Linked DNA regions of Arabidopsis thaliana. The protein of the gene in region 1 interacts with the protein of each later gene in a pairwise test. Each region holds a gene or a part of one and is shown in the gene's direction. Other genes may lie near its edges. The genes, in order: SERK5, AT3G13410, ABCG13 and ARD4.

Evidence for each region.
Region 2: the proteins of SERK5 (region 1) and AT3G13410 interact in a protein complementation assay, tested with the Arabidopsis thaliana proteins (one large-scale study listed by BioGRID).
Region 3: the proteins of SERK5 (region 1) and ABCG13 interact in a protein complementation assay, tested with the Arabidopsis thaliana proteins (one large-scale study listed by BioGRID).
Region 4: the proteins of SERK5 (region 1) and ARD4 interact in a two-hybrid assay, tested with the Arabidopsis thaliana proteins (one large-scale study listed by BioGRID).

What each region holds. Positions count from the first base shown.
Region 1 is NC_003071.7:5,751,092-5,757,860, forward strand, and holds SERK5 (somatic embryogenesis receptor-like kinase 5), read left to right. Parts: upstream 1-2,011; 5' UTR 2,012-2,184; coding exon 2,185-2,266; intron 2,267-2,406; coding exon 2,407-2,548; exon of another isoform or gene 2,549-2,614; coding exon 2,615-2,686; intron 2,687-2,842; coding exon 2,843-2,986; intron 2,987-3,661; coding exon 3,662-3,730; intron 3,731-3,811; coding exon 3,812-3,883; intron 3,884-3,961; coding exon 3,962-4,017; intron 4,018-4,523; coding exon 4,524-4,631; intron 4,632-4,714; coding exon 4,715-5,056; intron 5,057-5,165; coding exon 5,166-5,560; intron 5,561-5,650; coding exon 5,651-5,974; 3' UTR 5,975-6,262; downstream 6,263-6,769. UniProt on the Arabidopsis thaliana protein: Serine/threonine-kinase of unknown function.
Region 2 is NC_003074.8:4,361,106-4,365,891, reverse strand, and holds AT3G13410 (2-C-methyl-D-erythritol 4-phosphate cytidylyltransferase), read left to right. Parts: upstream 1-1,575; 5' UTR 1,576-1,754; intron 1,755-1,840; 5' UTR 1,841-1,859; coding exon 1,860-1,981; intron 1,982-2,114; coding exon 2,115-2,217; intron 2,218-2,313; coding exon 2,314-2,373; intron 2,374-2,557; coding exon 2,558-2,620; intron 2,621-2,744; coding exon 2,745-2,945; intron 2,946-3,048; coding exon 3,049-3,160; intron 3,161-3,250; coding exon 3,251-3,462; intron 3,463-3,650; coding exon 3,651-3,743; 3' UTR 3,744-4,257; downstream 4,258-4,786. Other genes in the region: AT3G13420 (uncharacterized protein), read right to left, coding at 57-441, 704-897, 1,077-1,169.
Region 3 is NC_003070.9:19,076,294-19,083,206, reverse strand, and holds ABCG13 (ABC-2 type transporter family protein), read left to right. Parts: upstream 1-1,755; 5' UTR 1,756-1,871; coding exon 1,872-2,058; intron 2,059-3,640; coding exon 3,641-3,720; intron 3,721-3,804; coding exon 3,805-4,266; intron 4,267-4,340; coding exon 4,341-4,463; intron 4,464-4,545; coding exon 4,546-4,707; intron 4,708-4,794; coding exon 4,795-5,079; intron 5,080-5,161; coding exon 5,162-5,434; intron 5,435-5,529; coding exon 5,530-5,637; intron 5,638-5,718; coding exon 5,719-6,075; 3' UTR 6,076-6,369; downstream 6,370-6,913.
Region 4 is NC_003076.8:17,626,625-17,631,219, reverse strand, and holds ARD4 (RmlC-like cupins superfamily protein), read left to right. Parts: upstream 1-1,856; 5' UTR 1,857-2,097; coding exon 2,098-2,109; intron 2,110-2,334; coding exon 2,335-2,422; intron 2,423-2,638; coding exon 2,639-2,733; intron 2,734-3,352; coding exon 3,353-3,592; intron 3,593-3,727; coding exon 3,728-3,856; 3' UTR 3,857-4,088; downstream 4,089-4,595. Other genes in the region: CLH2 (chlorophyllase 2), read right to left, coding at 459-728. UniProt on the Arabidopsis thaliana protein: Catalyzes 2 different reactions between oxygen and the acireductone 1,2-dihydroxy-3-keto-5-methylthiopentene (DHK-MTPene) depending upon the metal bound in the active site.

The sequences.
Region 1 (6,769 bases):
TTGTTCTATTTATAATTCAGTTAGAGATCAAATAGTGATTTGATACCTTTTTAATTTTCTGAATTTTTGATAAATATAGATTTGTTAGTTTTAGGCAATATTTAATAAAACGGTTTGATTACGTTTTTTGATAAATATATCTTTATTGTTTTTTATTACGTTGAATCAGATTTTTATTTTTGTTGTAAGATATCGTCAATGATTTTATCAGAAAAGGTAGTTTTAAGATTGATTTAATGGTCTTGCTCTATTTGTTATATTTTATAATTCGGTTAGAGATAAAATAATGATTTGATTTGTCCTCTTTATAATTGTCCATGATGACTTATTTCAGATTCATAGTTAGCACAAAACTTTGAACTTTTTTGCCTATATAAGAACAAATCAAACAAGAACACCATCTATATTTGCTAGATAAAAATAAAAAACCAACAGTGGCGACTTGAACATCAGAGACAAAAGAACGACCTCGATTTAATCAAATTGTGGGTAAAATAACTTTCAAAATTGACCCATTTAAAACAGATGGTCATGATATAAAAACGGGAAAAATGTCGTTTAATCCCCCAACTTTCCAAAAATGGCCAATCAATACGTCAATTTTGTAGGAGGCCATTTAAAACATCAACTTACAATTGACTAACATTTAAAACACGAACTTTGCGTTGACTAGGCCTAATAAGACCGACGTTAAATCGATTAACAGATCCATTAGACGACGTTAAGAACTGTTATCATCTCTCTGTTAGTGAAGAAACGACGACGTTTTAAAGCTTAATAGATAACCCGATTGTTTGTCGAAAATCCCCAAATCAAATACTTCAAATCCCTAATTCCCTAATTCTCTTCTTCTTCTCTAAATTCTCCATCAAAAGCTGAAGAAATGAGTTGCAAATCTGGGAATTCTAACTAATGGCATCCACGAACACACTTTCAAGATCGTTGGAGATAAATTAGGGTTTGTTTTTGATTTGGGGATGAATTCGATTTGAGGATTTCTTCTCGACAAATCCCTAATTGGGTTATCAATTACGCCTAAAACGTCGTCGTTTCTTCACAAACAGAGAGATGATAACGGTTCTTAACCTCGTCTAATGGATCTGTTAATTGATTTAACGTCGTGTTTTATTAGGCCTAGTCAACGCAAAGTTCATGTTTTAAATGTTAGTCAACTGTAAGTTGATGTTTTAAATGGCCTCCTACGAAGTTGACGTATTGATTGGCCATTTTTTGAAAGTTGGGGGATTAAACAACATTTTTCCCATTTAAAAACTGGCCAAAAACCAATGACTAAGATTTTATTTGATCATCGGGTCAAAACTCACAAGTATCGGGTTAGGCAACCCCCTCGTTCTTCAAATAAAATTATTTAAATGAGGTTTGATATCCTAAAACGTTTATAAATTTGATTATAAAACTTTAGCATTTGCCCATATGTTTGCAAATTCATTAAGACATTAAATTCAATTGTAACAATTATTTGCAAATGAATAATCAACGTAATCCACATATTTATAATTTTATATGCAAAATAATCAAATACAAAATATTTTAACAACTTACATTATTATTAGTATATTAAAAATATAATAATATTGTCTACCACATAACTATAACTATTTTAAAAAAAAATCTTAAACAAACTTAAAAACAGATTTTTTTTTATCCAACACTGTATTATGAAAGATTAAATAAAATTGTGTACTACACAACAACACCAACAATTATCTAACTAAAATAAATATTTAACAAGAATAAAATAAAAATGTATTTTTTCTACTACAATAACATCTAGTAAAATATAAATTCACAATTTCGAATCTGAAAAAAACATTAATTATTATCTAGTAAAATAAATTAGTCTTACAGTCACAATAAATCACTTACCTCACTTTTAGAAAAATAGAACTTTAAAAGTTGAGATAAGTATCTAATGGCCCAGCCTCGGCCCATTTACCCAATTCTGGATCCGGATATTATCAGCATCACTTTCGTTTTTTTGCAAGTAGCAGAGCATTCTCCATGTTTGAGAAACCCAAAGTTCCAAATTCCAAAATTGGTCAAAGCTCGATAACGTGTGTATTGCTTCTCTTAGTCAATGGTGATTTCGATTCATTGACTGGGTTTAAAAACCTTGCTAGTTCTCAATTCTCATGACTTTGCTTTTAGTCTTAGAAGTGGAAAATGGAACATGGATCATCCCGTGGCTTTATTTGGCTGATTCTATTTCTCGATTTTGTTTCCAGAGTCACCGGAAAAACACAAGGTTTCTTTCTTCTTCATTTGAATTTTCTCATTCGGGTTTCAAAAGAGAGACTTTTTTTTGTTTGCAATTTTGTAAAGGCAACAACTTTATTCCCTTGATCCCTTGTTGATGTAAAGGCAACAACTTTGTTTTTTTTACAGTTGATGCTCTCATTGCTCTAAGAAGCAGTTTATCATCAGGTGACCATACAAACAATATACTCCAAAGCTGGAATGCCACTCACGTTACTCCATGTTCATGGTTTCATGTTACTTGCAATACTGAAAACAGTGTTACTCGTCTGTAAGTTTCTTTCACTCTCTCTCTGCTGGTTTTATAACTGAATGATTCAAGCCTTTTACTGCTCAGTGACCTGGGGAGTGCTAATCTATCTGGAGAACTGGTGCCACAGCTTGCTCAGCTTCCAAATTTGCAGTACTTGTATGCTTCATCTTATTTTCTGATTGCTAATTATGTATCTTGTTTGTTACATATTGCATAATGTTTTCTGTAACATGGATTTTTGCTAGTTTAAGATATTTCCTATTGACGAATTCTCTCTAATCAGAAATATAATTAAGCAAATCTTAATGACAGGGAACTTTTTAACAATAATATTACTGGGGAGATACCTGAGGAGCTTGGCGACTTGATGGAACTAGTAAGCTTGGACCTTTTTGCAAACAACATAAGCGGTCCCATCCCTTCCTCTCTTGGCAAACTAGGAAAACTCCGCTTCTTGTATGTACTCTCTCCTTCTTCTATTAACCCCTTCAATACGCAGCTTTATTGTTTACAGTTTCGAAGTTTGGTTGTATTTTTCTTTGCTATAAAACTATTGCGTCTAACATTCAAGACCGTGTCACAATCTAATGTACTTATTTCCGGGGAGAGGGTTGTTTAGGGTAGCAGTGTTTTCTGGTAAATTATTTCATCTAGTAAAAGAATTCTGAATTCTTTAGTAAAATATTACCCTTGGAATATATTACATCACCTATAAAGAATTCACACTCCTTGGCCTTGTGAGCACAGTCCTCTGTCAAATTGTGATCCTTAGGGGAAGGCTTGAAGCTATTGAGTTAATGAATTTAGTTGTATGTCATTAGTTCGTTTCTGTAAGGAGACATTTGATGATAACCTTCCTTAGGTTTCGATAGAATCCAAGACCGGGTCCTATCGAAAGAGAGACCGTCGAATCTTCTAACCAAAAACTTCAGTGTACATGTGTAGAGTGAATGTTTCAGAAGTAGTTAGAGGCTAAGTGTACAAATTCTTTAAACAAATTCAGTCATTGCCCTACAAGTTCTATGCAGTTGGATAACATTATTTTTATAGATCAAACGTGTTGTTTGTCATTTGAACTCTTTAGTGGTTAATGTTGTTGACATGGGATCCTGCTGTAATGTATTTGGTTAGGCGTCTTTATAACAACAGCTTATCTGGAGAAATTCCAAGGTCTTTGACTGCTCTGCCGCTGGATGTTCTGTGAGTATAACTTTTATTCTCCTGAATTATATATGGTGCAATCTTGAGTTATGACAAAAATGTTATCATCCTGAAATGCAGTGATATCTCAAACAATCGGCTCAGTGGAGATATTCCTGTTAATGGTTCCTTTTCGCAGTTCACTTCTATGAGGTTTTCCTTCTTATTCTTAGTTTCATTCGTGATGGAGTGGTCAGAATAAATTACTTATTGCCTGAAAGTTATCTGCAGTTTTGCCAATAATAAATTAAGGCCGCGACCTGCATCTCCTTCACCATCACCTTCAGGTTTTCATTTTATTTGATGTATATCTTGTCGAGTTTCGTTCCACATTTTTTTATTTAATGGTTGGGTGCTTGTAAAGTATGGCATTTTCACATTAAGGTTTGTCATGTCTCTGCTAAGATTGATAAACTGCTTATTAAAAAAAAAGGCAACATTTTGATATCATTTTCCATTGGTTGGTGTTGAATAAGACAAGTGAGACATTCAGTTGAACTCGCCAGTCTGCTGAAGCAGAACAATGATGAACTCTCTAGTTTGGTAAAGTAACAAGGGTTAATTGACACTGTAAGAAAAGAAAGTGTTTACGGAAATTATGTGGGTAGCATGGGACATGAAGATATATTTGACACTTTTGAAGGTCTTTGATCTGAAAAATGTATTAGCTCTTTCACTTTTGGTCAAACATTCCACTTGGTTGATGCATCAGTAATTTTTCCCTTGAAAACTTTTCAATATATCACACAAGTGTGAATAATTTCTGTGCTAAGAAGCTTTGTGTTTATCTCAGGAACGTCTGCAGCAATAGTAGTGGGAGTTGCTGCGGGTGCAGCACTTCTATTTGCGCTTGCTTGGTGGCTGAGAAGAAAACTGCAGGGTCACTTTCTTGATGTACCTGGTTAGTCAACTCTCTTCATTTATTTTCCCATTGAAGCTTCTTCGGCTGATTTTAATCTCGTTTTGGTGAACCAAATTTTGCAGCTGAAGAAGACCCAGAGGTTTATTTAGGACAATTTAAAAGGTTCTCCTTGCGTGAACTGCTAGTTGCTACAGAGAAATTTAGCAAAAGAAATGTATTGGGCAAAGGACGTTTTGGTATATTGTATAAAGGACGTTTAGCTGATGACACTCTAGTGGCTGTGAAACGGCTAAATGAAGAACGTACCAAGGGTGGGGAACTGCAGTTTCAAACCGAAGTTGAGATGATCAGTATGGCCGTTCATAGGAACTTGCTTCGGCTTCGTGGCTTTTGCATGACTCCAACTGAAAGATTACTTGTTTATCCCTACATGGCTAATGGAAGTGTTGCTTCTTGTTTAAGAGGTACCACATTCTTTGTCCTAAAGGTTATTTGTCATATATTTTTGTTTTGTTTTGACTGGTTTGTGATTGGTCAGTTGGTAAGTATCTTATCTTTGATTTTCTATTATAGAGCGTCCTGAAGGCAATCCAGCCCTTGACTGGCCAAAAAGAAAGCATATTGCTCTGGGATCAGCAAGGGGGCTCGCATATTTACACGATCATTGCGACCAAAAGATCATTCACCTGGATGTGAAAGCTGCAAATATACTGTTAGATGAAGAGTTTGAAGCTGTTGTTGGAGATTTTGGGCTAGCAAAATTAATGAATTATAACGACTCCCATGTGACAACTGCTGTACGGGGTACGATTGGCCATATAGCGCCCGAGTACCTCTCGACAGGAAAATCTTCTGAGAAGACTGATGTTTTTGGGTACGGGGTCATGCTTCTCGAGCTCATCACTGGACAAAAGGCTTTCGATCTTGCTCGGCTTGCAAATGATGATGATATCATGTTACTCGACTGGGTATGTTTTTAATAGTTCCCGATCATATTTTTGAGTTCAAAACTGTTATTTTGCAATAAAGAGGAGTGTTTCTTTTCTGGGTGTGATTAGGTGAAAGAGGTTTTGAAAGAGAAGAAGTTGGAAAGCCTTGTGGATGCAGAACTCGAAGGAAAGTACGTGGAAACAGAAGTGGAGCAGCTGATACAAATGGCTCTGCTCTGCACTCAAAGTTCTGCAATGGAACGTCCAAAGATGTCAGAAGTAGTGAGAATGCTGGAAGGAGATGGTTTAGCTGAGAGATGGGAAGAATGGCAAAAGGAGGAGATGCCAATACATGATTTTAACTATCAAGCCTATCCTCATGCTGGCACTGACTGGCTCATCCCCTATTCCAATTCCCTTATCGAAAACGATTACCCCTCGGGGCCAAGATAACCTTTTAGAAAGGGTCATTTCTTGTGGGTTCTTCAACAAGTATATATATAGGTAGTGAAGTTGTAAGAAGCAAAACCCCACATTCACCTTTGAATATCACTACTCTATAATACTAATCATATCTACTATACTTTCTCTCCACTTCCATTAAGCAATAAAAACTATTCTTAAATCTTTGTATGCATCTTTGTAGAATATAGAAATTCATATAAACATAAATAGTAATGTTGCTTTATAACCCCTAATTTAAAAATGATGATCTTGACTACCCACACCACCAATACATTGTAGGAATCATCATGATAGGAGCTTTTGCTTATGGAAGAGAATGAGGATAAAATGTAATGGCAAGTATGTTATACCATAAAGAATCTATCATATCCATTTAAAGTTAGGCGGCTTTTTGTAGAATTCTATAATTTATGTTCATAATGGCGTCATGCTTGCTTTTGGTACTCCCAAAAATAAATCTTGATCGAACCCATATTTGCCTAAGAAATACAATGTGCTCACATACAAACTTCATATAGATTTGATGTATTTTTATCTTGAACAAACTACAAAGCATATAGTTGTCTGGCTAGTTAAAAGCTAGTAATGAGAATAATAATTTAGTTATGTATTTGGAGTTTTGTTTGGTTATAGCTGTTTAAACCATTGATTGTATTAATATTTTCGCATAAATTAATTTCTGTTATTTTACTTAAAATTATCTTGAAATTTAAAGATTACTCAAACATGATAATTTATAAAACGTAGACATATAACAAATTATCAACAATTATTTAGTTCTTA
Region 2 (4,786 bases), on another chromosome or scaffold:
CAACTACAATGAGTACACAAACAACTTAAGAGAAGAATAGGTAGAAATAAAAAGACCTGTGTTGCATTGGGCAAAGTGATATTGCTTAGGCCGCCATCTAACAGAGGAGTGTAGGAGGCAGGTTCGTCAATAGAATCTTCCAAGATTTCGTCAGAACGTGAACGTTGCTTAGCTATAGCAGGAGCCTGTAAGAAGCTATTTCGTAATTCTGGATCACGTGAACGTTGCCTAGCTAAAAGAGGAGGTTCTAAGAAGCTATTCCGTAAATCTGAATCTGATTGACGGGGAAATGGAGAGTCTATAATAGAAGCTCCCAGCCTATAGATCTGAAACCATAACAGAGAGGACGATAGCCTCACAACGAACCCAGCAATTTCCATAGCCAGGGTGAGTTTCACAGAGAAGATGTAAAAGACTTGATACATATCAGATGAAATGTTCCTGCATTAACAATTAAATCTTTTGTCAGTTATAGGCAGCAGATGAATACTGGCTCAACAGAATCTAAACACGACATAGCAAAGATTTGCAAAAAAAAAGGTTTAAAGATCAATCAGTTCAAAAAGATGATGAGCCAATCAAGAGAAATTCAGGACAGTTTACAATATGTGATGCAATGAAAATTAAACAAGACAGAGCAAACTCTTAAACCAAATATTTGATCATGATCACAAGCACGGCTGTTCCAAGGATAGTGACATACCAAATCTCTTTGGAGAAGAGAATGAACCATGAGACATCAAGAAGAATGGCGCAGAAAAGAAGAACCGCATAGGTTCTGCCAAGACTTTGGCTATTACTCTCGATTGCTACTAACCCAAATAACGCAATCGCCAAATTTATCAGCACGACTCCATTGTACAATGCCCCTAGTGAACCGATCAACGCGCACCCTATCTGAAACAAATGATTCATCAATATGAGTTTCTTGCACTTCTAACCACAATTAAAAGAATAACAAACAAATATCGACAGAGAAATCGTAGAACCCTAATCCCAAACAGATACGAACAATTCACGAGAAAAAACGTGAAATCGGAGGAAATGAAACAACTACAAAGCGATTACGGATTTACCTGAGCATAGATAAGAATCAAAACGACAGATTGGAGCCTAACGTAGTCGCGAAGCCAATTATGTATTCGATTTCGTAACGAAACACAAAGCATCGTAAAATCTCAACCTCGCAGCTCTCGTTACTTGTTACTTCAATGGACTTTCATAATACAAAATGGCTCGACGATTCTGATGCTAAATTGCAATTTTCCGGCGAACGAAATCGGTGAATCAAGAGAGAACGACGATTTGAGAATTTTCGTGAGGGAGAAAGTAAAGAGTGTCTTTGGCGGGATCGCGTTGCAGAAGAGGCAACAAAATAAAAAAATGAGGAAACGAAATATTCCGTTCAATCGTGACGAAGTTATTATAAGATTTAAGGAGGTTTCCGTTTCTTGTCCAGAGTGACGGACGCTTAACGGAGTCACGAAATTTTGGGCCGTATTGGAAAATCTTTAAAAGCCTAATCAAGCCCAAAACTTCAGACCGGTTAATATCTGAACATAACCGAAACCGGTTATCTCGGTTAGCGATTTTCGTTTCAAAAACGACGCCGTTAATTCCTTACATGTCGACTACTCATATGTGTCGCCCAGATTTGAAGATCGGAGATATGAATCTCTTCTTTCTCTGGATTTGAAAGTTCGATAAAAATCTACTGATACATCGACTTCTGGAAGCGATCTCGATCTCTCTAGGTTTGTGATTATCTTTGAATTTGCTGATTGTTTCGTTAGGCGTGAGGAATTGTTCGATTGATTTTTTTTCCTTTTGTCTCCGGTAGAATTGTTTCGACGACGAAGATGAAGAAGATTCAAATTGGTGCGGTGGCGCTATTGGTGTTTCTATCTGTGGCCTCTCTCTTTGAAATCGGATTGGCTTCTCCGAACACAGTTCCTGCTTTCCTCTGGTCTCCGCATCTCCAGTTATGCATCTTGTTTTCTCTATAATTCTCAATTTGATTGATGGAAATGTGTAAAAAGCCTGGGACTTGTGATATCTGATGTGAGTTAGCTTAGATTACTGGGTTGATTGGTTTATGTGATTCTGAAAATCAGGTCTGCTAATGGTGAATTGGATGAGGCTGTAAATTATCAGGTCATGTCTGCAAAGGATCTAGTTGGTTCTGTTTTCACTCAAGGAGGTTGGTCAAACTTTCTGGTATGGTTTCTTCTTCATGATCTTATGATTTCAATTCTACAACTCACTGGATGTCAAATGATTTTTCTTATTGTCATTACTGTCTCCTTTGTTTAGTGCTCAGAGAAGAAGCTTGAGCAACCTGTTGATGTTGCACTTGTGTTCATAGGCAGAGAGGTAATTGAATGATGTAGTATTGTTGTTTTAACATTAGCATAAATGACCTTGTGGATCTTTGGTTTCTTGTTGTGATATTGTAAAGAAACTGATGTTTTAATATTGCGGGAAATTAATCGTCTTTGCTCTGTATCTTCTGTGTTATGCTGAGAATTCTAATATTCACGTTCTCTTCCGCCTGCAGTTACTGTCTTCTGATGTTTCTTCAAAAAGGAACTCAGATCCTGCCCTTGTTAACACATTGAATGTAAGTGCAAATTTTCTTTTCTTCAACAAGAAATTTCGAAATTGCATCCGTAACACAGATCTCTGACATAGTTGTTTGATATAAAGTTTACAATACTCTAACATCCAAGTCTTTGTTTCAACAGAATCTATTTACAGCTTCCAACTTCTCATTGGCATTCCCATATATTGCTGCTCCAGAGGAAGAAAGGATGGAGAATTTGTTACTTTCAGGGCTTAAAGAAGCTTGTCCCAACAATGTAGGAGTCAGCAATATCGTGTTCTCAGATTCGTGCTTTGTTGAGGATGGAACAATTCAGAAACTTTCAGACTTGCAGTCTTTCAAAGTAATACTCATTGCTCTTAAGTTTTTATTTTCCCTAATCCCATGCCTTCCCAGTGTTATCACCCCCTTAACTTCACTTTCTAATACTCATTAATAATTGACAGGATCATTTGCTTGCTAGAAGAGAAACAAGGAAAGAAGGAGAAACTGACTTGGTTGTGCTCTGTTCCGAGGGTTCTGAATCGAATAGTCAAGCTGGACAGTCACATTCAGAGCGTAAGTGGAAAGATCATTACAAAATAATACTAACAATTAGATATCATTTGAGAACTAGGAAATTAAGCAATTCTTTGACCTATTCTGCAGGTGAAAGCTTCTTGGAACTTGTTAGTTCTGTAGAACAATCCGGCAGTAAATATACAGCTCTTTATGTTTCTGATCCTTATTGGTACACATCTTACAAAACTCTCCAAAGGTTTCTAGCTGAAACTGCTAAAGGAAACAGTACTCCTGAAATTGCTACTGGCTGTGATGAACTCTGCAAATTTAAGTCATCACTTTTGGAGGGCATACTAGTGGTAATTACTCTTTTTACTCGTGTTTTTTTGGTATTCATCGTTCTCAAGAAAGATTCATAAACATCATAGAATGGACAAGTTTAATGAGCATCTTGGTCATATCTAGCTGGAAGATAATTTAATTCAATGTGTTAAAATTTCGTAAAAGCCTTTGATTATGTCTCGTCCTTTTCTTTTTCTTTTTGCAGGGAATCGTTTTTCTTCTCATCTTGATCAGTGGACTTTGCTGTATGGCGGGTATCGATACACCGACTAGATTCGAGACTCCTCAAGATTCTTAAGCTGTTGACCTTAAGAGCCATCCCCACCTTTTGCTTTGCTTTTGACGAGTCTTTTCTTGTGCATAGTGCGCATTGTGGAAGGTACTTCAATGTCGATTTGTTACATTATTACTTCAAAACAAAATCTGCATATGCCATAAAATCCCCTTGTATCATTTATTCATCTTGTTTGTGAGTCTTTCTTAAACGTCATAAATTAATAATGGAGAACGAGTAAAAAACCAGAGATACATACACTGGAGAACGGATTACATTCTTTTTCAGAATTTTTTTTGTTTCTTTTTCTTAGATTATATTCCGGAGTTATCGTGCTCATAGTATCGTATTCATATCAATTTGGGGATTCGGACATAGATTTTCTGGAAGAAAAAAACTCAGGACAATAATGTCGGTAGAGTCAGAGTGGTAGGACATGTGTGTGTACCATCACTTGTATAGATAGATAGAAAGATAGATATAGATGATAGTTTTGTGAACAATTAAGAAAATAGTAAGAATACATATATAAGTTTTGTCATGCAACATGCAATTCTAATCCAAATTTAATGTTTGCCTCGGCATGTTTAGTCATTATTAAGTAATATCGATTGAGCAATTAGCAGTTTATAATTTATCTAGATAGACCTTTTGTTTTGACTATTTCGTTGATTTGTTCCATGATTCAATACTTAGCAAAACATCTTCATATGTTGGGGTCCTTATGGTCCCTGCATGGACCTATTGACAAAGTCATAAGATCAATCTTTCAGATTCTTTGATTGACCTCTCTCTCTCCATAAAGAAGCGTATAAAGAATCAAAATGACCGAAAACGATGGTTCTATTCATCTTTTCCCCACTATACATACTCCTACATTTATTCTAACATAACACTATTCGTATCCCTGTTTTTTTCAAAGTTTATACTATAACAAATACATGACTGTATTTGTCTAATTACGAAGAAGTTTCAAAAGCATCATTTATGAACAATGTTTATCTTTTTTTTTCTTACACAAACATTTATAAAAAATCATGTCACCATGACATGTAGCTTAGTTTTAT
Region 3 (6,913 bases), on another chromosome or scaffold:
GTTATGATATGGAAAAGATGGAAGAAGTCATTTAATAAGTTTATCTAACAATCTATGATTAGGTTATCGCAGTAATGAATTTTCTTTCTTAGCAGAAATGAATAATTTAGTCACACTAACTACATAGCTTTAATTTCTGTTGATACAATTGAAGACAAGAAGACATAAACGTTGAAACAGTGTATTTGGTACTGTGTATGTGTTTGATTAGCACGAAACATGGTTAAAAACATCACATGGTTAAAACAAATCCGTCACCATCTGTTTTTTTTTTTTTTTTTACAACATACTTGTTTTCCATTCGTCATATCCGAAAGAGAATAAATTTGCAAGCTCTTCAAATTCATGGTTCGGTATTATAATCTTAAAAAAAATATATAAACTTACAATATAAATAGAACGATAGGTTTGATAAACAATAAAAATAGATGATAGGGGGCCATAAATAAAAACTCGAAAACAAAAGTTAAATAGCAAAATGCAACAAGCAAGCTCATGATGTGTCGAATACACTTCTGCAAACAATTTGGGGGAGATTAAAAATAGTCACTATAAAAAAAATCTTATGACGTTGAGAATCCGTCTTTTGCCTCAAAAATTACCAACACGAACCACATTGAAGCAGCAAGGAACATTGGACGGTTTCTTTCCAGAGGCAGAAACTAAATAGTATATCTCAATAAGAAATTTAACATACGACCAAAATTAATTGCTTTATAAAAATAATTAAAATATTAATGATAACCTTTTCCGTGGTTAATTTTCGGCCATTATGATAAAATAATTGATCCAATCATATGTTTACACAACATACTTAAAATTCCTTATATACTCTCTTGATTACTTTCTTACCAGTTACATAAACTCAATATGCAACAACTAGATTACTTTAATCTAAACGTTCTGATATACGGCCTTATGTCGATGTTAAGTTATATATATCACGTTCACAATGTATATAAATAATTCAAATAATTTTCCAAAAGTAATGGCGTCTAAATATAGTTGAGTTGAATAGTATAGACTCTCCTCATGGATTTGAATTTCCTCTGTGATTCGTTTGAAAAAAAACAATGTTTTGGAGTGCTATACTAGTTGATACACCCAACCAAATCGGAATTTTATAAAAAATTTGGACAAAATTACCAGAAAATAAAATTATTGCAATTTACGTGATATATACCCTAAAGTGTTATGTTTCCTTAAATCGTGTAACGAAACCATAAGTTTCTTATCATGCGGATGTCTGTAGCTCTCGACATATATAGTACCGAACGGGTCCAACGAGTAAATGAATATAACATCAAACGTCAATTTTTCTGTCACATGCCTCGTCTATGCATGCATGATAGTGTACATATATAATAGTTTCCTTTCTGTCTTTTACACTATTCTTAATCCACTTTTCTGTTTTGCATGGGTAGATATTTTGTTTTGGTTTCATAAAATAAATAGAAACCAATATCATTTAGTTTGGTTCGATTTTTCTTCGGATTCTAAATTTTTTTTATTTTATTTTAACTAAACTATATGTTTTATTTATTTTTAGTCATGATTTATTTTATATATCAAAAATATGTAACCGAATTTATTACATCTAGTTTTTTCCAATCACTTTCTTTGGTACAGTTTCGGTTTGACTCAAATTAGTTTAAACCAATTTGGACCACCCTAATTTATACATTTTTTTTTTCAAAGACCCTAGTTCTCTTAATACATTCACCGCACAACTTTTTATAACTATAAATAAGGCCACAAGCATTCACACACATTACACTTTTCTCTCCCAAAGAAACAAAAAAAAAAACTCTTAAGCTAGAACAAGTTTAAAACTCTTCGCTCAGTTTTCGATCTATCTAACAAAAGCATACATGACTACGCCGGAGGGGGCGATGTATGTGGCGTGGGAGGATCTTACGGTGGTGATACCAAACTTCGGTGAAGGAGCAACTAAGAGATTACTGAATGGAGTGAATGGTTGTGGTGAGCCAAATAGGATCTTAGCTATTATGGGTCCTTCAGGTTCAGGCAAATCTACGCTTCTTGATGCTTTAGCAGGTCCCTTCTCTCTCTCTCAGACACACACACCCATACATGTCAAGATTAGCTCGTCGTTTTTATTATGTATTTCTTTTATTGTTAAATGGTTTTCCTCTATTATATAAATCTCAAATAAGCTGAAGCAACATCGACCAACAATTAAAAGATATAGTTTTTAGAGGAATTTAACAACCAACCACATTTAGCTTTGAAACCAACATTAAAGGATGAGACTTACCCACTTTGAACCTAGTATTTAGTGAATCGTTCTATGTACTCTATATATATATATATATAACTATAATTAACAATATACATGACGTTATGTCTTTCTTTTAAAAAATTGTCCAAGGAAACTTTCTCAATATACTATGTAAAAAGTGTTTCACTTTTGGAAAATAAGAAATTTCTGTTTTCTTACATTAAAAAATATTCACAAATCTTTTAGTAATTTTTATTTGGAATTGATAAGGATTTCTGCCATTCGTAGTTAAATTTGAGAATATAAGTTAGAATTTATTTGTTAGATATATATATATATATATATATATAGGTGTATGTCTGTGCGTGGGTGGGTGTGTGTCCTATTCAACATAAAATATTTAATTATTATTAACCTGTAAATTCGTATGTAATCAAAATTAACTAATATGATACTTGATTAGTTTTTTGTATATTGGAAAAATACATTACTACAATAAAATTGATAACTTTCCTATTTGAAAGCAACAAACTATGTACATACTGTATCAGTATCACAATTTGGTGAAATGAAAATATTAACTGAAGTTTTTGTACTCTTCTGTAATTTTTTTTTTTTTTCTTCTGTAACTTTGACCAAACGTAACATATATATATGTAAAAGAAATTTGAGAGCATGATATAACATATTTATGTATCAAGATATTTATAACTATTGAAAAACAGTGCTATATTTATATCTAAGTTTCATGTACACGATGAGACATATATAGATATTTCTAACTTTATATTTATGGATTCTAGCTACCAATTTTATTTTTTAAGTATAGCTATATACTATCGGAGTACTAAATAAATATTAAAAAAAAAATAGTTGCAATTTTCATGTTCTTAATTAATAAATTTACATCGTCGTACATTTAGTATTGAATAAATTGATAGTTACGTTTCTCTAACGTAGACTATGTACAGAAATTTTGCAGTAACATTTCTTATTAAATCATATTTTAAATGTTAACCAACTACCAATCACCAATATTCTGACACAAATATTTAGGATTGCACGATCGTATCTTCATACCGACTTGCGATCTCTTCACAAGTTGAACCCGGTTTGGTGACTGGTCGGACTCTTTGAGGGATGTTACGTTCAATCCAAAAACAATCCAAATCGATTATTATTTTCTTGACCAAACCTAAATTTGATTGGATTAAGAAGATCTTTATTTTATGCTTATGACTAATCGAAACCAATTTAATTTTACTGTGGCTAATATTCTTGTAAAAGCGAAAAACCCAAAACCGGGTTATAAGATTGTTCTATCAATGCTATAAGATTGTTCAAAAACATGAAAGATTTAACATCTAACATTAAAAGGTAAATTTGGTGATGGTACAGGAAGATTAGCAGGGAATGTTGTAATGAGTGGCAAAGTACTTGTCAATGGCAAGAAGAGAAGACTTGACTTTGGTGCTGCCGTAAGAAAATTTATCTTTTCTCTTTAGTTTTTACCCTTTTACACAATCAAACTATTATTATTCATGAATGTCCTAAACTCTCAGGCTTATGTGACGCAAGAAGATGTGTTGCTAGGAACTTTGACAGTGAGAGAATCCATATCTTACTCGGCTCATCTCAGGCTCCCTTCAAAGCTTACCAGAGAAGAGATCAGTGACATTGTGGAAGCTACAATCACTGACATGGGTCTTGAAGAATGTTCAGACAGGACCATTGGAAACTGGCATTTGCGTGGAATAAGCGGAGGAGAGAAGAAACGGCTTAGTATTGCCCTCGAGGTCTTAACAAAACCAAGTCTCCTCTTTCTAGACGAACCAACTAGTGGACTGGACAGTGCTTCAGCTTTCTTCGTGGTTCAGATTCTTAGAAACATAGCAAGCAGTGGCAAAACTGTGGTTTCTTCGATCCATCAGCCGAGTGGTGAGGTTTTCGCCCTCTTTGATGACCTGCTACTTCTGTCTGGAGGAGAAACTGTTTACTTTGGCGAAGCAGAATCTGCAACAAAGGTAATAAGATAGAGCATTGGCAAGAGTATATAACCATTATGCTCATTTGTGTTGTTGTTGCTTCGACATTGCAGTTCTTTGGTGAAGCAGGTTTTCCTTGTCCAAGTAGACGGAATCCATCAGACCACTTCCTTCGCTGTGTCAATTCCGATTTCGATAATGTCACAGCGGCTTTGGTTGAATCTCGGAGAATCAACGTTTGTTTTCCTCTGCCCTTCTTGTTTTTTCATGAACTTACAATACTCTCAAGCTTTTGACCTCGACCTTTTACATCTGCAGGATTCATCTTTCTCTCTTCACCAACTACATGAAACTACAAACACATTAGATCCTCTGGATGATATACCAACTGCAGAAATTAGAACAACACTTGTCAGAAAATTTAAGTGTTCACTTTATGCAGCAGCTTCAAGAGCAAGAATTCAAGAAATAGCATCGATAGTAAGTTACGGTTACTACTTCCCTTAAAACTACAATGTATCACATAATGAGAGTCTCATAAGCACAGTTATAAACCTTGTGCAACAGGTGGGGATTGTCACAGAAAGGAAAAAGGGGAGCCAAACTAATTGGTGGAAACAACTCAGAATACTTACTCAGCGATCTTTCATCAACATGAGTAGAGACTTGGGGTACTACTGGATGCGGATTGCAGTCTACATAGTGTTATCCATTTGTGTCGGGTCAATCTTCTTCAACGTCGGGAGAAACCACACAAATGTTATGAGTACTGCAGCTTGTGGCGGATTTATGGCAGGCTTTATGACATTCATGTCAATAGGAGGATTCCAATCCTTCATTGAAGAAATGAAGGTAAAGAGCTAAACAGAGAAAAATTCTCTTTCTTCACCTAAAAACTTATCTTATGTTTTAGCATCTTTATTCCTGAAAACAGGTGTTTTCTCGCGAAAGGCTCAATGGACACTATGGGGTTGCAGTATACACTGTGTCTAATTTACTCTCCTCATTACCTTTCATAATCCTTATGTGCCTCTCCACCAGCTCAATCACTATCTACATGGTGAGGTTCCAATCCGGAGGTTCTCATTTCTTCTACAACTGTCTCGACCTTATCTGCGCGATTACAACTGTGGAGAGTTGCATGATGATGATAGCTTCAGTAGTCCCTAACTTCTTGATGGGAGTCATGTTGGGAGCTGGTTACATTGTAAGAGTGGCCTCTGTCGCTCTTTCACCTACAAGCTTTCTTATATCTCCAAAAACTATTCTAAATTGAAAACCGCTTTATCCTTCATCTCATAGGGAATTATGGTGTTAAGTGCGGGGTTTTTCCGATTCTTCCCCGACTTACCAATGGTGTTCTGGCGATACCCGGTGTCCTACATAAACTATGGTGCATGGGCACTACAGGTAACCAGGTTTTCTCAACTTTAAGATGCAGACTATATCGTCAAGTAGCTATCTTAAATGAGCATACCTGATAAATTGCAGGGAGCATACAAGAATGAGATGATTGGGGTGGAGTATGATTCTCCGTTACCCTTGGTACCAAAAATGAAAGGAGAACTCATTCTTCAAACTGTTCTAGGCATAAATCCAGAAAGTTCAAAGTGGTTGGATCTAGCAGTTGTGATGATGATTCTCATTGGGTATAGGATTGCCTTCTTCGCCATCCTCAAGTTCCGGGAAAAGGTTTTCCCAGTTATTCACATGTTATACACAAAGAGAACTCTGAGCCATATCCAGAAAAGGCCTTCTTTCAGAAGAATGACACCTTTCCCTTCCAGGCGATACCCTGTTCACCATGCTCTCTCTTCTCAGGAAGGACTTAACTCTCCACTGCATTAGAAGCATATACAGCAGGATGCAATTTCCATATATTTCAATATGTCAGATGTCACTCTCTTCAAACTTGATAAACTGTTTGTAGCCCGTTGTGTAAGGAAAAAAAAAAGAAAAGAGAGATACTATCATTCTGACTAATGAGATTTGTTTAGCATGAGGATGGTATCTATCAGAGATACATATATTGGAGAAAAAAGATAAGCATGGCTACATTATCAGATTACAAGTGATGCATGCATGAACCCCTAAGAGAGAGTCTACCAACGAACCACCGTAAATATATCAAATAAGGCACTTCGTTTGCTAACATAGCTTCAGAAGAAACTGTGTTATGGAAATCAAATAAACAGAAGATGGTATGGAGATTTGTTACCTGGCTGGCAGTAGAACACTGGTCCTTGCTTGATAGCACCAGTGACGCAAATCTATAATCTGTGCAGCACAAGAACAGAACAGACCAGGCATATTTGACTTTTATCACTAAGTGCCATGAAATCTCCTCTTTTAGCATATAGTTGATAGGGAATAGAATCAAAACTAACAAAAGTAACCTCCCAAAGGCGTTTGTTGAACAGATAGAGAACAAACAACGAGATACTTAAAACCTTAAAAGTGTAAAACCAAGCAAAAATGGTAAATTTTCAACTTTGGGAACCCAAATATAAGCTCCCAGAAATATTACATAGTAAGGAAAAAAAATACACAAACAATCAATAACTTTAAACAAATATGGCTAATCCAGTTGTAAAATCAGAAAAAACCAGTCTGATTATTTTAGAGTAGACATGTACAGAACTCATTTGTTGTTCATTTGCTACCCTATGACTGTTACAACTAAACT
Region 4 (4,595 bases), on another chromosome or scaffold:
AATCCTAAATCCTAAATCCTATAAGTCCTAACAAATCAATGTATATGTATTTATTATGATTTTTTTGGATTCAACTAGAATATCTTAATACATGGACCTACATATTCATGAACATTCACACTAAACCTCAAAGGACCAAGTAGTCAGTCACATGCAATATTTGCACAAAATGGAATGGAACGAGATTGTAGCGAATTTACATTTTTCTAAACTCTACACTAATACTAAATCCCTAAACAAAAACTATACACTGGATTTAACAATTCCGATAGTACCATTTCCATAAAAATAACTCATAACATTTTACTAATTAAACAAAAACTATACACTAGTTTGACCCCCCAAAAAATAATTTCTATACTAAATTACTAATACACATAGGAATCTAAAACTAAACAAGAATTTCAGTGGCTAATTAGTTCCTGAACTAATGTAATGATTGGAAATTGAAATTGAACCTGAGGAGCGATGAGGATGAAGCCATGAGAAGAGACATGCAACATAAGCTGAGAATAGAAGGAGTTGTAGAGAAGGTAACCATGGAGGAGCATCACCACCGGATAATCTCCTTCCTCCACCGGCGTAGCCACCAACAGCTGCTTTGGCGGAGACGGTGAAGCTCTAGAAGACGGTGTTATTTTGCAGCAACGAGATGATGAGTCCAAGGTTAAGAGATTTGATTTGTATTTGCCATCTTCAAAGGCGTTTCTTGATGAAGAAGAGGACATTTTTTTTGTTCTTTATTAGTTTTTCTTTTCTTTACTTTTTTTGTTTGGTGGGTTCATGAGAATGAGGTGAGTAGAGATATTATTAAAAGTTATAAGAAGTATGGCCGTTGAAATCTTGGTTAATTTTAAAGAGCACATAAACAAAATCAAATAGAAAAAAATTACTTATGTTAAATTACTTATATTATTGGGGTTGGTGTAATGATAAATCTTCCAGATGTAGATATTGGATTAAACGTCTGTTGAAAAGAATCTATTTTCTAAAGAATATAAATTTAACTTGTGTCCCATCTCTAAAAAATATAAGACCTTTAAATTTAAACTTCTAAATATTTTTTTTTAAAAAACAAATCAAATAGAAAGAAATTACTTATGTGTGCATGGAATATAACAACTACAATCATAAGGCCATATATTCATAGTCTATTTTCAGTATTGAAACCTGATTTTTTCTAATTTTGGGTAATAAATTTTATGAAGTCTTTTTATTATAGTCTAGTTAAATTTCTCTATATTTAAACAAAGTCAGATCCTATATATATGAGATTTTTTGGAATTTTAAAAAATATTTAAATTCAAACAAAATAATTGGAGATTTGAATTTTTGTAAGAAAGTTACTTTGTGTTTCAGATTAAATTTAATAATAAATGGTCAAAAGATTTATGACTAAGAAGTATTAAAAATTAAAATATAGAAGAGAAAAAAATTGATATGATATGATATGCTCTTAGCAAAAAAATAAATTGATATGCTGTTGCTGGGTACAAGGAATGGGCTTTGTACTTCATACTAGACTACTTTTTCTCTAGTCCAATTTAAAAAAAAAAAAAACATTATATAACATTCGAGACTAATTTAAAGTGTTAAACGGCCCAATTTGTATTACACGGCCCAAGTTAAAGTGTTAAACATTACCTCATTACCTATGTACGATTTGTGGAAAAAAAATATATATACCTATGTACGATTTTGGATTACATTTTTTTTTTCTAGTTAAAACTAATTTCAAGTTTGAAATATAAATTATATATCTGAATATAGATCATTCTAGTTCAAATCAGATGGAAATATATGAACCTCAGAAAATACAATATCATACAAATGAGCCAATGTTTTGGTCTTATTCATTCATGATCATTGTGGCTCGAAAACGGTTGTTTTTTTCGTGCAAAAGAAAAAATAACGATTTTTTATTATTAGAATTTCGAAACCAGAATTAATAAAAATTAGGAGAAAGGAAAATAATACGAATTAAAGTGATCGTACACGTGGCTATCATCGACGGAGGAAATAGCCATTTATTTATCTGATCTTCATCACTCTGATGAGTCTGAAATCAAAAAAGCATTTACACAACGAAGATCATTAATGGCTCTCGAGGTGAGTTCTGATTCATAGGTTCTAGATTCTGATTTCGAATCTCGATTCGTTCAATAGTGATTATCGTTGCTCTTTCGGAATTATTTTGGGGATTTGATTTGATTTTGGCAGAACTGAGAATTGGGATTTGATTTTACCGTTTTGCAGCTGAAATTGAAAATTGAATCAAAAGTTTTTTCTTGAGATTTTTTTCTTTCCCTGAGGCTTAAGTGTTGATTGATGCAGGCATGGTTTATGGATGATAGCAATGAGGACCAGAGACTTCCTCATCATCGTAACCCGAAAGAACTCGTCTCGTTGGATTACTTGGCAGGTCTTTTCAATTCTCTACCTTAAAAATTACTCTTACTTTGCAACTTTTGAAAAACATCAATCTTTCATGCTTTATTGTATTGAGTAGTGATTCTACATGAGGAAACTAAACGTAAACCGTCTTAAAACTAAGGAAATGGTCAAATTTACCCAAGATGAGATTTAACAGAATCATAAATTATGCAAATATCACAAATATAGTTGTTGTGTTTTGTAGAGTTGGGAGTGTTGTACTGGAAGTTGAACCCTGAGAACTACGAGAATGATTCTGAACTTAGCAAGATTAGAGAAGACAGGGGTTACGATTACATGGTACGCATATTATCTCTTCCTGATCACTGTTTTTTCTTAACTTAGGAACACTCATGCTCATCATAAATGCCAATTGAATGTCTCTGTTTTTTAACTTGTTGCATATCGTTGCATGTTGATCTCATGAGATTAACGATTGTGACATATACTAGACACAGTAGGAGTGTAGGACTACATAATGAAGGTAGTACTCAAACCTTACAAAACCAGCCTATGAAGAAAGAAGCCTTATGAGTATTAGAGTACAGGATTTGCTACGGCTTATGTCTTTCTGATCACCCTTTTTTAACTCATGCTCACCATAAGCGGCTATTGATGTTTCAGTTCCTTTACTTGTTATCTCTGCACGCTAATCTCATGAAAAAAAAAAACATGTATCATAGGACAGTAGGACTATAATCTTGCATAACCATTAAGGGGTAGTATGACTACAAACATTTTAGAAACCAGCTTATTAAGGAAGAAGGCTTCTCTGTAATTGAGTATTAAGGGAACATTAAAACGTTTGGTTTACGTTAAAAATAATTAAGCTATTTGTGTGGTGTGTAGCATTGTAACTTATGAGCTATAAACTAATTTTCTCAAGCAGAATGATTACTTTGGTTAATCTTCATTTTAGGATTTGCTGGATCTGTGTCCCGAGAAAGTCAGCAACTACGAAGAAAAGCTGAAGAACTTTTTCACAGAACACATTCACAAGGACGAAGAGATTCGGTACTGCCTAGCAGGAAGTGGCTACTTTGATGTTAGGGACAAGGATGATCGTTGGATCCGTATCTGGATGCAACCTGGCGATCTCATTGTCCTTCCTGCCGGAATCTACCACCGGTTCACACTCGACGCCAGCAACTACATCAAGGTACAAAAAGCCAAACTCAGTCTCTATACTAATTTACTAATTTATATGAATACGCAAATGAAATATTACATCTTAATATCTTATGTTAAAAGATTTGATTGTTGGTTTGTGATGTATGGTGGTTTGGTTTTGCAGCTAATGAGGCTGTTCGTGGGGGAACCGGTTTGGACACCATATAACCGGCCACAGGAAGAACATCCTGTTAGGAAAAAGTATATCCACGGCTTAACCTACAAGTTTGGAGAAACCGTTAAAGCACATTAACAATATTAATATATGCTTGTTGTGTAATTTGTATGTATTGTTTACTCTTTAGTCTTAAGCAGTAAAATAAAAACAGCGGCTCCTTCTGGATAGTTGTTCTTGTAACATACTTTTGCGATGTATGCTTTTATACATAAAAAAAATAGTGTGTATTTATCTAATAAGTATCATTAAAAAACAAATGTCAGCTGCGAACGTGAAATTTATAACTAAAAAAACCCTACGATTTTCGAATAAATTATTTGAGCTTTCCAAACTGTAATTCAAGTATTATTACTTATATAGTGTTAGTGTACTTCAAAAGTTAAAGCATAAATTTTCTTATATTTGAAATGACCTCTTCTTTACAAAATCTTCTTAAAATTATGCATTATCAATATATTAATTGTATATATATATATAATGTATAATTCTGCTTGTGTCGTGCTTAACCGTTTGATTTGGTGTGGTTAGATCTGGTTTTCCCCCAACCCAATTCAATTGAATCAAGGATCAATCAAATTTTCAAAGGATACTCTTGTTCTCTACACAAATCTTTCAAAGGGTTCCACCAAAAATCCCATCATTCTGACTTCAGAATAAACAAACAAACCACGAAACGTATCTCTATGCATTCACTACAACGTGTCATGGGCGAAAACGAAGCTTATAAATGTTGGAGCATAGTCACTAAATTTATAATGATTAATTAAATTTTAGATTTTCTGATATTCATAGAAGACAAAAGAACACAAAAGTA